3 linked regions of the Macaca mulatta genome follow. The protein of the gene in region 2 purifies or fractionates together with the protein of the main gene of each other region. This does not show direct contact. Links are inferred from orthologs where the notes say so. Each region holds a gene or a part of one and is shown on either strand. Other genes may lie near its edges.

Region 1 (5,077 bases), on a different chromosome or scaffold from region 2:
AGAGTTTATTGCCCAGGGCAAAAATGGTAATTCCTAAAGATGCTTTTTGGTCTCCTTCAGCCTCATCTCCTAGGGCACAATAAAGTCTAACAGAGTAGGGATGTGGTAATATGAGGGCTAAGCTGGTGAAATCACCTTGTCACTCAAAGCCACATTTCCCTTCCACCACCTGTGCCAAAATGTGCTCAAGCACCACGTCCTCTGCGAAACCCTTCCATGCAGACATCACCAGCCTTACGTCCCTTGCTCCTTTCTCCAGGGTGCTCCAGGCCCCTCCCTGCATCAGTTAGAATTCGGGTCACCTTCAAGTGATGAAACCCCAAATGAACAGGCACTTAACCAGTTGAATTCTCCCAGGTGACAATACTGGCGTGGCTCTTCACAGCCTCAGGGAGCCAGGCTCCTCCCATCTTGTCCTGTCTTCCTTGACCTTCACTCCTAAGATCATTTTCTGGCCCAAGGTGGCAGCTTCTACTCTAGCCATCTGGTCCACATTCCAGAGTGCAGGAGTGCAGGAAGGAGGAAAGGTGGGGGATCATGCCTTCACCCTTAAGAACACTTCCTAGAAGCTGCACATACCACTTTTGTTCAACATCTTTTTGACTAGAATTTGGTCACAGTACCACACCTAATCTCAAGAGACACTAGGAAAATACCTGGAATGCATATAGTCATGTGCCCAGCTAAAAATCAGAGCTTCTATATTAGGAAGGGGAGAATAGATACTGAGAGACAACTGGTCTATCTTGCCATAGTTCTCTCTCTAGTACAATCCTGATAGACCTCCTGGGGACAGGGTCAGAGCCCAAGTCTTCTTCAAGAACACAGGAAATGGCCCACAGGGGGTTCTCTGGCAATGTACAGCTAACTCTGCTTCCCATGTTGTGTACTTCTCATGTTGAAACTGTTACACACTTACCAGGTACTAATTCACTTGGTCCTCGCCACCCACCCTGCAATCTAGGTACTAATGTCACTCTCATTTTACACAATACAAAACTGAGCTCATAAAGACTTAACAAGCTACTCCTAGTCACACGTCTATTAACTGAAGGAGCCAAAATTTGGACCCAGGTAGTCTGGTTCCAAGGCACCTGCTCTTAACCCCCAAAATACTCGGCCAACATCTATGAAACTGAACTGCACTACAGGACAGCAGCCAGAGCACCTCGTGGACCCTCTGCTCCACAGGCCAGCAGCACTCCTGGGGGGATCCCCAGAGAATTCTCTTGGGACATAGGGGTATAATGGGTCCTGTAACAAGATCTTCTCCAGAGAAAAGGGCAGATGTTATGACTCTGGGGTGGTGTCCCCTCCTCCATGCTGATGACTAAGGCCAGAGGACTGACTACTTCTAGACCTTTATTTCTCTGTGAAAAGGGGGAAAATAAAAGGAATAAAATAAAAATGGCACAGTTGACACACACAAAAAAAACCAATGAGGGGAAGGACGGGAGGTGGAGAAGTAAATGGGGGAGGGGTTCCCATTACAGCAGCAGGATCCAGTGACCCGGGATGCTCACATCTCTCCCCGACGTGGGCAGAGTAGCCCCTTTCTCCCAGGGTCGCTGTCCTGTCCAACCCCGTGCTCCCCCAGCCCACTGGGAAGTGGACAGTGAGACATCTTCCCAGGCTGGGGAGAGGAGGAACCGTACTGGGGGAAGGGGCCTGGGGTCAGACCATGCACAGGGAGTGACAGCCAAAGGCCCCCCAGTGTCTCTCCAAAGAGGGACTTGTGGGGGTTGGAGGTGGACACTAGAGGCCAGTGTTTGCTCCTCTTCCAGCATCAGGCGAGAGACAGAACTAGGAAAACAGGAACAGGCAAGAATCAGAACCACAGCCCTCTCTCTGCCCACAATGCCATGGTACCTCCCCCTCCCAGAAGCTGCGACCTTGTTCTCAAAGGACAGCCTAGCACCTGTCCTCAAAAGTCCACCCTCCTGCTAGGGCTCCCTGCTTTCTAGGTCTTACCAGTCAGAGCCTCCTGGGCAAAGTATTTGACGTCCACATCCTGGTCCTGGGTCAGCTTCTCTAGGATGGGCTTGACTTCACTCTGCAGGGTGCTGGAAAGCGAAAAGGAGACAGGGAAAGGGAGCGTACTGGGGCAACAGGTGGGCACAGGGCTCTTGAGCAAGAGGGTATACACAGACATGGATACACCAAACCCAAGGTGGGAGGAGTCTCAAGAATCCAGGACATACACAGGAATGAGAAATCTCCGCTCAATGCACAGGAAGGTGACCATAGTTAACAATAATATTTTGCATATTTCAAAACAGCTATAAGAGAAGATTTTGAATGTTCTCATTACAAAGAAATGGTAAACATTTAAGGTGATAGATATGCTAATTATCCTAATTTGATCATTACACATTTGCACACATTATCAAAACACTACTATACCCCCATAAATATGTATAATTATGTGTATATTAAAAGTAAAATCAGGCCTGGCATGGTGGCTCACATCTGTAATCCCAGCACTTTGGGAGCCCAAGGTGGGTGGATCATCTGAGGTCGGGAGTTTGAGACCAGCCTGGCCAACATGGAAAAACCCTGTCTCTACTAAAAATACAAAATTAGTAGGGTGTGGTGGTGCACGCCTGTGATCCTAGCTACTTGGGAGACTGAGGCAGGAGAATTGCTGGAACCTGGGAGGTGGAGGTTGTGGTGAGCCAAGATTGCGTCATTGCATTCCAACCTGGGCAACAAGAGTGAAACTCCGTCTCAAAAAAAAAAAAAAAAAAAGTAAAATCAAGGCCAGGCGCGGTGGCTCATGCCTGCAATCCTAGCACTTTGGGAGGCCAAGGTGGGCAGACCACTTGAGGCCAGGAGTTCAAGACCAGCCTAGACAACATGGCAAAACCCCCGTCTCTACTGAAAGTACAAAAATTAGCCAAGCATGGTGGTGCACACCTGTAATCCCAGCAACTTAAGAGGCTGAGACACAAAAACTGCCTGAACCCAGGAGGCAGACGTTGCAGTGAGCCGAGATTGCACCACTGCACTCCAGCCTGGGCGACAGAGCGAGATTCTGTCTCAAAGGAAAACCAAACAAACTGCAAAAAAACCAACCAACCAACCAACCAATTACTTTAAAAGTCAGAAGTATGACAAACAACAACAGACTTCTCTGGGGCCCCAAACAGGGAGATCAGAGCAGGCTGGGAAAGTAGAACAGAATCACAGAACTCCCAAGTCTCTGAGGCCCAACAAATGGGTATCTTTCATTGATTTCACACATATTCACTGAGGCCTACAATGTATATGGAATGAATACGGAGCTAAATCACTCTTGTTTCTTGCCATGAGGCATCCGGGCCAGGAGCAAGACAGAGACCAAACTGCTACGTAAGAAGGGAGTGGTAAGTGGTCCCAAGGGAAAGTTCCTGGTCCTCCAGGAGCCCAGAGGAGGCAACCACTCTCATCTATGGGGCCCAGGGAACTCCGCCTGCACCGAGTCAATTGTTTTGGGAAATGGAGGAGGACTTCGGAGAGAAACTAAAGCTGAGGTTGTGTCCTGGAACAGATTCAGACAGAAATCAAAAGTGCAGGCTTTGTGGGTCCCCCACTTTCACTTGACAGCTCCCTGTTCTCCCCAAATAACCACTATTCTTACTTCCATCATCTCGATTCTTTCATTCTGCCTGTTTCTGAACTTGACATAAATGGTGTGTTTTCTTGAGTTTGGCTCCTCACTCAACATGGTATCTGTGAGAGCCACCTGTGTTGCCGCCTACAGCAGGCATTTGATTTTTCACTGCTGAATAGTTTTCCACTGTATGAATGAACTAAAATTTATCTGCTCTACTGTGGGCAGACATGGAGGTTTTTTCTGTTTTTATGGCTACTATGAATAAAGCTACCATGAACATTCTTCGGACAGAAACAGCACTCATTTCTCCTGGATAGAGACCCAGGAGTGGAAGGGCTGTTTCACAGGGTGTTTGTATAACAAGCTTCACCAAATTCCACTCCAGTTCCACTCCCGTTTTCAGAGTGATCAAACCCTAAATACACAGCCTCACGTGCAACGGATGAGAGTTCCAGCTCTATGTCTTCAACATTTGCACCATTGAGTCTTTTTTAATATTGGCTGTTCTGGGAGGTGTGTAGTGATATGTCACTGAGCTTTAATTTGCACTTTCCTGAAGGCTGATGATGCTGAACACCTTGTCATATGCTTACAAGCTATGTGGAGATCCTTTTTCAAGTGCCCATTCAAGTCTTTTTTCCCATCTCTTTCTTGCCCTGCCTGATTTGTAGACAAGTATTGTGGATGAGTCCTTTCTCAGAAACATACATTGCAGACATCTTCCTCCAGTCAAGGGCTTGCATTTTACTCTCAAAATGCTGTCTTTTGAGAAATAGTGCTACATTTTACAGAAGGTCAACTTACCCATCAATTCCTCTGGTTTGCTGTGCCTACGCTAACTCATGAAGATATTTTCCTACATTTTCTTCTAGATGTTTTATTTTTTAAATCTTTCTGGTTCTGGTCTGTCATCTCAAATTAATTTGTTTATGCATTGAGGCGAGGCTTCTTTTTTTTTTTTTTTTTTTTTTGAGACAGAGTCTGGCTCTGTCACCCAGGCTGGAGTGCAGTGGCCGGATCTCGGCTCACTGCAAGCTCCGCCTCTCGGGTTTACGCCATTCTCCTGCTTCAGCCTCCCGAGTAGCTGGGACTACAGGCGCCCGCCAGAGGCGAGGCTTCTTTTATTCCTACATGGATATCAAATTGACCCAGCTATGTTTTTTAAAAAATATATATTTCTCCACTGAACTACAGAGGTGCCTGCTGTTAAACACACGTGGGACTGTTTCCGTGCCCTTGATTCCATCCTATTGGGCGATTTAAATATTCTTGTATTCACATCTATTTTAATTACTGTGGTGTCGTAACTCTTGGTCTCTGGTAGTATAAATCATCCAACTTTGTTCATTAGAAGTGTCAATTTTCCACTAAAGAACCTGTTGAGATTTAATGGGCTTATACTGAATCTAAAGATGAGTTCAGGGAACTGTCCCACACACGAATATTATGTAGGTCTGTTTTAATTTTTTTTGAGACAGAGTC
Region 2 (5,121 bases):
AAAAAAAAGAAGAAGAGAACCACCAGCTGACACTATAGCATTTATGCTCAAAATTTTCAGACTCTTAGCCTTGAGAGTGATGAGTTTTTGATGTTTTTGAAAAAGACATGATTATCATCTGTTTCCAAGGTTTTTATCCACTAGAAGGGAGAATAGTCACAGTTGCCTATTCAATGTACCAGGAATCAGTCACCAAAATAGCCAAAGACATATGCTCACCAGGTGATATAGGCCTGCTTGAACTCGGAGAAGGCGTGTAAGGGATCGGGCTGGACACAGTGCGAGGTCTTAATCCTTGTGCTGACATCTCATTAAAATACCTAAGAGGAGAGAGGAGGAAATGATAAAACCCCCTGTATTTAAATAGTCCTTAAGAAAGTTTTTAGGAGAAAATGTTTGGGGTTCACACCTTGAGGTCAAAATCCTGAATGTTTAGATTGATGTTATAGTTAGAAGGCAATTATACAATGGACTCCTGAGTGACACCACTCTGCTGTTTGACAAACCTCACTCAAGGGGTACCGGTTGGGAGATCTAGGATGTTTTAGCTCAGGATAGAAGCCAGGTGAAAGAGGTGCACCATACCACAGAGAGGACCAGTTTTTCCTCCACCACACAACAGCTATGCTGGAATTCACCTCCACTGTCCCAAGAGTTACAAAGATATTCACGTGTTAGTGCCTACATTTACATTGTTATTTGAAACTCAAAACCAAGCAAGCCCTCTGAGATTTATGTCATAAAATTAAAGCCTACAGATACTTATTCCTGTGAACTGAGTATCAACTGTTTACAAGCAAGTCCTGCTTAACAGACAGACAGTCACACACTAGGATTTAATGAGACTTGAGTACTGAACACCTACAGCAGGTCATGCTTAGCCACACCATGCTGAGTCTGCCTTTTTCCTGGATTCAGAAGTCACATCAGACCCGAAAATGCTGAAGTGTGATCATCAGGAACATCAGCTTACGCTCTGTGAAACGAGCACGGAGCGCTGACGAGGAGAAATTTCTGCTTGAGAGACTTCCTGATAAACCATCCTGCGCGAGCAACCCACCCTAGTGGCAACAGGTGGAACTTCTTGTACTCTACACATCCACTAGTAGACAAGAGGCATCTTGTGGTCTCTTAAGTGCTGGACCATTTTCCTTCTCCCAAATGTAGTATCATTGTTCCTAGTAGGGGAAGTATTTATTGGGCAGCTGTGGATAATCTGACCTACAAAAGGTAGGGCAAACTTTCTGAAATGAATACCGGTTCTGGAAAAAAATATTTATCTGGAAGGCTGAAACTGCTTCACTAGTGACACTGCAGTCAGAAGACATTATTTCCTCAGAGTGTATCTTACCCCAAACTGGGTCCCAGATGCTATATATGATCTGTATCTGAAGGTAGTTAATAAGCTATTTAGTATTCTAGCTGGCAGTTTTAGTCAAATAGTTCTTAAGGGATATAGATTTTAGAAAGAATAGGGAACTGTAGTTTTATAAGGCAAAGTTTTGAGAAAGAATAATCTTTTATTATTTCCCAATGAAGAGGTATATACATAGGTATTTAAAATAGGATAACCTGTTATTGTTTTCCTTTTTTTCTCATTATAAAAATATAGACTTTCATTACAGATAATCTTAAATTTTTCTTTAAACAATAATGTCACTGTCCACAGCAAACTGATCAACAGCGTTGTTAGTCCTCTAAATATATTCCATAACAGAAACAGAATGCGGATGTGCTAACATTGTCTGTATGTTTCAGACAGCTTGTATTGGCATCAACAGACAGTACTACTTGTCACAGCCATGAGTAGCCCTGGTTTCAGACACCGAATGCCCAGTCCTGCTGGAGGGACCCCCAAGAATACTCAGTCTTACCTCTCACACTAAGATATGGCCCATGTAATGCCAGGACATCCCTGATCCAGAAGAGATAATTTCCTTGCAGAAATGTAATTCTCTAACTTCTGGGTTTCTCCACAGATTAAACATTTTTTTCCAATTATATTTGTTTGTTTTCTTTTTTTTTTTTTTTTTTTTTTTTTTTTGAGACAGAGTCTCGCTCTGTCACCCGAGCTGGAGTACAGTGGCCGGATCTCAGCTCACTGCAAGCTCCGCCTCCCGGGTTTACGCCATTCTCCTGCCTCAGCCTCCCAAGTAGCTGGGACTACAGGCGCCCGCCACCTCGCCCAGCTAGTTTTTTGTATTTTTTAGTAGAGACGGGGTTTCACCGTGTTAGCCAGGATGGTCTCGATCTCCTGACCTCGTGATCCGCCCGTCTCGGCCTCCCAAAGTGCTGGGATTACAGGCTTGAGCCACCGCGCCCGGCTTATATTTGTTTGTTTTCTTACCACTACCTTATCCCAAGTTTAGAGAGGAGGAAGAGGGAGGAGAACTGGATGAGGCACAAACACTTGAGACCATTTCTGCTACTTAACCAAAGGATGGGTCTCTCATTCCAGATCACTCACAGTGGGGCAATGAGGGGATTCACTGCTTAGGTTTGAACAGATGAATACAATCCATTAGTTTTATTTTTTTTTTAAGTGGCTACAAAACGGCTCAAAAGTTATCAAGTGTGTTAAGACAAGTCCTGGGGATTTCAACAACCTCCACCTGTGTCCCTGCTGATTCTTTTCAACCTATAAATGCACTGTTTTCCTCGAGCTGCACTATAGCTTGCTTTATCCTTGTACAGTACAGGAATTAATATGTGCCCATGCTTTAAACAGATATAACACTGGATTAAACTAATTCAACAACAAAGGCAAACTCTGCTCCTTCTCTAATATAACGCTGTCTCCATTTCTCTCCCCACCAAATAATTTTAGAGGTGATTTTTTTCATCTTCTTGTGTTTAAGGAAAATGTTCAATCTTTATCCCATTCTCAGCATCTGTTATAATGCAGTGGCATTCATTAGCACAATAAATACATATTTAAGCTATCCCCTTATACACCTAACAGGATACCAAAGAAAACCCCTGTAGAACCTGGGTTTTATTTTTTAAACAAAAACAAGGCTCATAGGACATGCACACACCTTTCGTCATCCATTTCTAAGCTGGACTCACTCTCGGAGAGCTGTCGACAGAGGGCTTCTCTTCTCTCCATCTCCCTCTGCAGCTTCCTCTGCAGCCTCAAGTTCTCTTCCCTCATGTGACGTTCCTCCTCCAGATACTGTGCCATTTTCTCTGAATCTGAAAAGTCAGAGTTTTCAATTAAACCATGTTTCATGCAATCATATCCAAATCTGAAAAAAGGAGACTTCAGTTCAGCCCCTATGCCACAGACAGAGTGAATTGTTACAAGATGGTCTTTCTGGTCGGATATGGTGGTTCACATTTGTAATCCTGGCACTTGGGGAGGCTGAGGAAGGTGGATCGCCTGATGTCAGGAGTTCGACACCAGCCTGGCTAACATGGTGAAACTCAGTCTCAACTAAAAATACAAAAATTAGCCGGACGTGGTGGCAGGCACCTGTAATCCCACTGGGAGGCTGAGGCAGGAAAACTCCTTGAACTCGGGAGGTGGAGGTTGCAGTGAGCCAATACTGAGCCACTGCACTTCAGCCTGGGCAATATAGCAAGACTCTGTCTCAAAAAACAAAGAAACAAAAAAGATGGTCTTTCTCATTCTCTTGCACATAGATGAGATATGGATTTAAAGTTTATCTCAAGTATAAAAGTTTACCAATGATTTGCATTTAGAAAAAAATATAAAAGGCAGTGTTGGCAGGTTAGGCATTGTCAGTCCCCCTCATTTGCTTTCTAAAGTGCTTTAAGTAGACGAGGAAATGGTGGAATTGTAGCTGAGTCTACAAGTAGCCACTACCAGAGCTCTTCTCTACATTGCTGGAGCTGGGAAAGGAGGGAGGCCCAGATTCTGCCCACGGGCAGACCTCAATTTGGCTGCCTCTCAACTCCAGACACAGCGAGCCGTCTAGGGGAACCTGTGACACCTGCTGGCATCCCCGCTGTGCACAGCGGTGGTGGCACACCAAGAACCACTGTACTAGAACACATGTGATAACAGTTAACATTCTTTTCATGAGAATAGACATTGACATAGTAAACCAGAAAACTTTAGATTAATATTTCCAAGTCTAATTTGTGGTATGTGTGTGGCTGTCTGTCACCCTGTCTCACGCACATGCTACGACAGAGGGCAGGTGAAGACCTGTATATAGCTGGCACCTCTTGGGATGGCATCTTGCTTATGACAAATACCCTTTCCTCAGGAGCTCTCCCACAAATCCAGGTCTCTGCTACAGCACCCATCTCCCAGGACAGAGCTGACTAGCTCCCGGACTAGATGTTGGACCCAGGCTGAGCCACTTAGACCACCTCTCCCAGGAATCTGAAATGGGGAACTGACATCTTTACGGGGATCCATCTTTAGCTCCTCCAGCTAAGTTCCCTGGAGCCATCAAAACTCTTGTCCTTCTGAGGTTATTCTTCACAAGATTCTGTGCCATACTCCGCAACCTTCCAAAAAAAGAAAAACACGTCTTCCTTCCTCTTTTGACAACCTCCCCGCCGCCCCCATTCCTTTCTGGTTTATCTCACGCAGAATCTGCTACCAAGTAACCGGAATTATCTAATACAAAATGTGGTGTCTACCCATCTTCTTGCTTCATTTCTTTTCCTTGTCTTTGTCAATGAACTTGGGAAAAGTAAAATCTCCATATACTTATCTTTTCTGAAAAGCAGTTACAAATTCAGAGTGGCCATAAGCACATCTAAGAGAGTTTCCTGTAGGCTGCTGTTCCATATTGTCAGTTCGGTCCAAATTTAGGGAAGAAGGAAGGAGCTGTATGCCACATTGAGCATTTTTCTCCCACAGACTGACTCTATTTCAACTCTCAATGCCCATCAAATTAGTTTTAGTTTTAAGCAACTCTACAAAAGTCTGACATTTTAGCCAATAAATACTTCTGATAAGTATTCAATGGTTTCCAAGACAGCATCATTACAGAATATACAAAAGCTCTTGAATATCCTTATTTTAGAAATTCAAATAAAAATATCAAAATTATTAAACACTATTACGTGCACTAAACACTAAATCCTTTGGCTGTTTCAACACAGCCAGAAACCCTGCTGTCTAATCCAGACACAAAAATC
Region 3 (5,121 bases), on a different chromosome or scaffold from region 2:
GTGGCTCATGCCTGTAAACCCAGCACTTTGGGAGGCCGAGGTGGGCGGAACATGAGGTCAGGAAATCGAGACCATCCTGGCTAACATGGTGAAACCCCATCTCTACTAAAAATACAAAAAATTAGCCGGGTGTGGTGGCAGTTACTCAGAAAGCTGAGGCAGGAAAACTGCTTGAACCCGGGAGACAGAGGTTGCAGTGAGCCAAGATCGCGCCACTGCATTCCAGTCTAGGCGACAGAGCGAGACACTTGTCTCAAAAACAAAACAAAACGAACAAAGGGAGTTTTACTTTTGTACAGAATATCTTTTTGGTGTTTTTAATGTTTTACAAGGGCCCAAAAATGGTTACTTGTAACTAACAAGCAAGAGGTTACTTGGGAGAGAAATGAGGATCCAAAAGTCTAAACAAAAACTCACTACAATACTTTCATAAATTAGTACTTCATTTTAAAAGAAATGTGATTTCTCAATGATATAAAGGTTCTGTATAAAGTATGAAGACATAACACCAAATATAAAACAGGAAAGAAAAACCATTAAAATGTTTCCTGATAAATGAATGTTTCCATTGATACCTATAAAAAGGTGGTTCAAGTTTTTTAAAAGGCTGTAAATATTTTAAATAGTTGTAAGCTAAAACTCATCAAGTACATGTCACTAGAAACAAATAATTTATTCTAATGGATAATCAATCATCAACCAGACACATCAAAACTAAAAGAAAAATCTATAATCTTCTGCTAAAAGTTAAATCTTTAAAACAGTATTAAGTGCATACCCATTAAATCCAGTGACAATTTTCAGTATTCTTTCCTTCATTTCATCAAAGGGAATATATTCGACATTAGGGTTGGGAGGACCTCTTGGCTCAGGAGCTGAAGTTCTGAAATCATCCATCACTTTCTCCAGTTTGAAAATAAAATAGCCTTTAAATTGGGACCACTGAATCCTATAAGCAAAAAATTAAAAAATACGTAATACCATGAGTTTTACAATTCTTGAACACAAAACACAAATACAGAATATACTATGACACTAACACTAACAGAATATGTGAATAATTAGTAATGAGAATACCGTCATTCAGGAGCATGCATAAAAGATATAAAAATTACTAATTTCATTAAATCCCAACCCCTGAATACATCTTTTAAATATTCTGTGTAACAAAAATGAGAAATATACATTAAAAAATTATGCTGCATATCAAAGAGGTATGGCATTCTCAAAGAACAATACCTTTAGACTGTTACCAGCTGAACTAGCTATTTTTCATAAAACAGCATTTTTACCTGAAAGGTCTGCCACACAAATAAAGCTTATTTACATTAGCAGACTGGGTGTGATGGCTCACACCTGTAATCTCAGCAGGTGGATCACTTGAGGTCAGGAGTTCGAGATCAGCCTGGCCAACAGGGTGAAACCCTGTCTTTACTAAAAATACAAAAATCAGCCAGGTATGGTGGTGCATGCCTGTAATCCCAGCTACACAGGAGGCTGAGGCAAGGAGAATCGCTTGAACTGAGGAGGTGGAGGTTGTAGTGAGCTGAGGATCGCACTACTGCACTCCAGCCTGGGCGATGAGCAAGACTCCATTTCAGAAAAAAAAAAAAAAAGGAGAATGTGGTAGGCATTTTCTCAAAAATAAATAAAGTGAACCTGTCACTGTAAGATAAATAACTGATAATATTTGTTACTAATGATAAAAATTTGAACTTCTAAGCAAAAAACTGAAAGTCTGGAAAATTTTTATTCTTCACTGAGAGCTCGAAAACTTCCTGATATATTCCCAAAATATTCTGAAGGCAACCAGTGTCCACGTAAAAATATTATATGGGGCCAGGTGTGGTGGCTCATGCCTGTAATCCCAGCACTTTAGGAAGCTGAGACAGAAAGATCACTTGGGCCCAGGAACTTCTATAGAAGCCAGCCTGGGCAAACAGCAATATCCCATCTCTACAAAATAATTAATTACTAATTAATTTAAATTAGGCATGGTGATATGCACCTCTAGTCCCAGCTACTCAGGAGGCTGAGGCAACAGGATTGCTTGAGCCCAGGACGTGGAGGCTGCAGTAAGCCAAGATCACACCACTGCACTCCAGCCTGAGCGACAGACCAAGACCCTGTCTCTTAAATAAAGATACTGTGTGATACCAAAAGCACAAGCAACAAAATAGATAAACTGAATTATATCTGTGCATCAGCCAGGCGCAGTGGCTCACGCTTGTAATCCCAGCACTTTGGGAGGCCAAGGCGGGTGAATCACAAGGTCAGGAGATCGAGACCACCCTGGCTAACATGGTGAAACCCCGTCTCTACTAAATATACCAAAAATTAGCCAGGCGTGGTGGCGGGCACCTGTAGTCCCAGCTACTCAGGAGGCTGAGGCAGGAGAATGGCATGAACCCGGGAGGCGGAGCTCGCAGTGAGCTGAGATCACGCAACTGCACTCCAGACTGGGTGACAGAGCGAGACTCTGTCTCAAAAAAATAATAATAATAATTGTGCATCAAAGGATACTATCGACAGAGTAAAAAGTCAAATCGTGAAATGGGAGAAAATATTCGCAAATCTTTTATCTGATAAGGAGTTAATATCCAGAATATATAAAGAACTCCTACAACTCAACAAAAAAGAAAACCCAATTTAAAAATGGGCAAAGTACTTAAATACGTACTTCTCCAAAGAAGATATACAAATGGTCAGCAAACACACAAGATGCTGCTTAACACCATTAATCTTGGGGAAATGTAAATCCAAATCACAATGAGATACCACTTTATACCCATTAGGGTTGGCTATTATCCAAAAAACAAGTGAACAAGTATTGGCTGGCCAAGGATGTAGAGAAACTGAAACTTTTTTTTTTTTTTTTGAGACAAGAGTCTCACTCTGTTGCCAGGGCTGGAGTGTAGTGGTGCAATCTCGGCTCACTGCAACCTCTGCCTCCGGGGTTCAAGTAATTCTCCTGCTTCAGCCTCCCAAATAGGTAGGAATACAAGCGCCTGCCACTACGTCCAGCTAATTTTTTTGTTTTTTGTTTTTGTTTTTTTTTTTGAGACGGAGTCTCGCTCTGTCGCCCAGGCTGGAGTCCAGTGGCCCAGGCTGGAGTCCAGTGGCGGGATCCCAGCTCACTGCAAGCTCCGCCTCCTAAGTTTACGCCATTCTCCTGCCGCAGCCTCCCGAGTAGCTGGGACTACAGGCGCCCGCCACCTCGTCCGGCTAGTTTCTTTGTTTTTTTGTTTTTTGTTTTTTTTTTGTATTTTTTAGTAGAGACGGGGTTTCACTGTGTTAGCCGGGATGGTCTCAAACTTCTGACCTCGTGATCCGCCCGTCTCGGCCTCCGAAAGTGCTGGGATTACAGGCTTGAGCCACCGCGCCCGGCCATTTTTTTGTATTTTTAGTAGAGACAAGGTTTCACCATGTTGGCCACACTGGTCTCGAACTCCTGACCTCGTGATCACCCCGCCTCGGCCTCCCGAAGGGCATGAGTCACTGCGCCTGGCCAAGAAACTGAAACTCTTGTGCATGGCTGGTGGGAACGAGGCAGTCACTGTGGAAAGCAGTTTGGTTCCTCAAAAAAAAAAAAAAATTATGAAACCACCCTATGATTCAGGAATCCCATTTCTCAGTAGATCCCCAAAACCCAACAACCCAAATGTGCTATGAGCACATGAATGGATAAGCAAAATGTGAGATACACACACACACACACACACACACACAGTCTTTAATCTGAAATAAATTCCAACGTGGTACGACATGGATGAAGCTTGATGGCATTATGCAAAGTGAAATAAGCCAGACACAAAAAGAACGACTATTGTATGATTCTACTTATACGAGGTATCAAGAATAGTCAAATTTAGAGACAGTCGTCTGACACTGTGGGGAGGAAGGTGCAGGGACTTACTCTCTAATGTGTACAATGTTTCAGTTTGGGTAGATGAAAAGTTCTGCAGATGGATGATCTTGAAGGTAATGTAACATTGTGAGTGTACTTAATGCCAATAAACTGTACACTTAAAATTGTTAAAATGGTAAGGTTTACATTACATATATTTCAATAGGTATTTCACCACAAAGAAGATACACAAATGGCCAATAAGCATATGAAAAGATGCTCAACATTATTATCTATTACAGAAATGCAAATCAAAACCACAAAGAGACACCCATTTCACACCCACTAGGGTGGCTATAATCAAAAAGATGAATAATAAACAAGTGCTGGGTTGATGTGGGGAAACTGGTAATGTCATACATTACTGGTGGGAATGTAAAATGGTGTAGCTGCTTTGGAAAGTACTTGGCAGTTCCTCAGGAAGGTAAATGCAGACTTGTAATCCAACAATTCCATTCTATTAAATGAGTCAATAATGTATTTTACCGCTACTACTTTTTAAAATGGTGAGGATGAAAAGCTATTTGCATGATTACTTTTTTCCTTTCCCTATCCTATTTTAGAAAGGGGAATTTGAGGTTTAACAAGCAGATCTGCACATCACAGAATTTTTGATATGCCTAATAAGAATCCTTCTTAATGTACAATTGCTTTTGGTTCCTAAAATTTATCTTTAAACTTTATAAGACTCCCCACATGCACTTCATAAACATACCAGGGAAAGTTACACTAAAATAGGATTATACTTTTCATTTCTTTAATAATTTTTTGTACTTTTAATAATCACCCACTAATTCATAGTATTTTATGAGTTCAGATTTATATATGCATAGGGTCTTGTGGTGTGTTTTAATCTCATCCTTCCATCAACCATCTGACATGACATCTTTGAGGTCCAAAAAAAGCACATTAATGGGAACAGCCAGACAAGAGGTATGGGACCCCAGGTAATGGAAATTCTGAAGAGATTAAAAGACTCTATGGTACTAACTCATGAGACAGAAATTAAGCCCCATAAATTGACATGAATTATGAACACACTGTAGTCTTAACTTTCAAATAAATCAAGCACTTACTCTAAATTAGATCAATACGATGCAATTCAAGTGATACTATTCCATATATATATATGGGGAGGGCATTCATAAAATGTGAAAGATACAGCTTTTTGATGGAGGACAGCTATTTGATAAAAACAAAAACAGAAAATGCTT

What was found. The genes of interacting proteins can lie anywhere in the genome.
Region 1: the proteins of CCDC6 (region 2) and PPP2R1A purify together in Homo sapiens (affinity purification with mass spectrometry; 5 studies listed by BioGRID and IntAct, with this or other methods). This does not show direct contact. The link is inferred for Macaca mulatta from reciprocal best matches to the Homo sapiens genes CCDC6 and PPP2R1A.
Region 3: the proteins of CCDC6 (region 2) and PPP4R2 purify together in Homo sapiens (co-immunoprecipitation; 3 studies listed by BioGRID and IntAct, counting the BioPlex papers as one, with this or other methods). This does not show direct contact. The link is inferred for Macaca mulatta from reciprocal best matches to the Homo sapiens genes CCDC6 and PPP4R2.

Annotation. Positions count from the first base shown.
Region 1 is NC_133424.1:64,419,518-64,424,594, reverse strand, and holds the end of PPP2R1A (serine/threonine-protein phosphatase 2A 65 kDa regulatory subunit A alpha isoform), read right to left. Parts: intron 2,064-5,077; coding exon 1,972-2,063; intron 1,804-1,971; coding exon 1,787-1,803; 3' UTR 1,346-1,786; downstream 1-1,345. UniProt on the Homo sapiens protein: The PR65 subunit of protein phosphatase 2A serves as a scaffolding molecule to coordinate the assembly of the catalytic subunit and a variable regulatory B subunit.
Region 2 is NC_133414.1:90,019,496-90,024,616, reverse strand, and holds part of CCDC6 (coiled-coil domain-containing protein 6), read right to left. Parts: intron 3,196-5,121; coding exon 3,039-3,195; intron 321-3,038; coding exon 220-320; intron 1-219.
Region 3 is NC_133407.1:136,534,572-136,539,692, reverse strand, and holds part of PPP4R2 (serine/threonine-protein phosphatase 4 regulatory subunit 2), read right to left. Parts: intron 3,578-5,121; exon of another isoform or gene 3,534-3,577; coding exon of another isoform or gene 3,457-3,533; intron 950-3,456; coding exon 779-949; intron 1-778. UniProt on the Homo sapiens protein: Regulatory subunit of serine/threonine-protein phosphatase 4 (PP4). May regulate the activity of PPP4C at centrosomal microtubule organizing centers.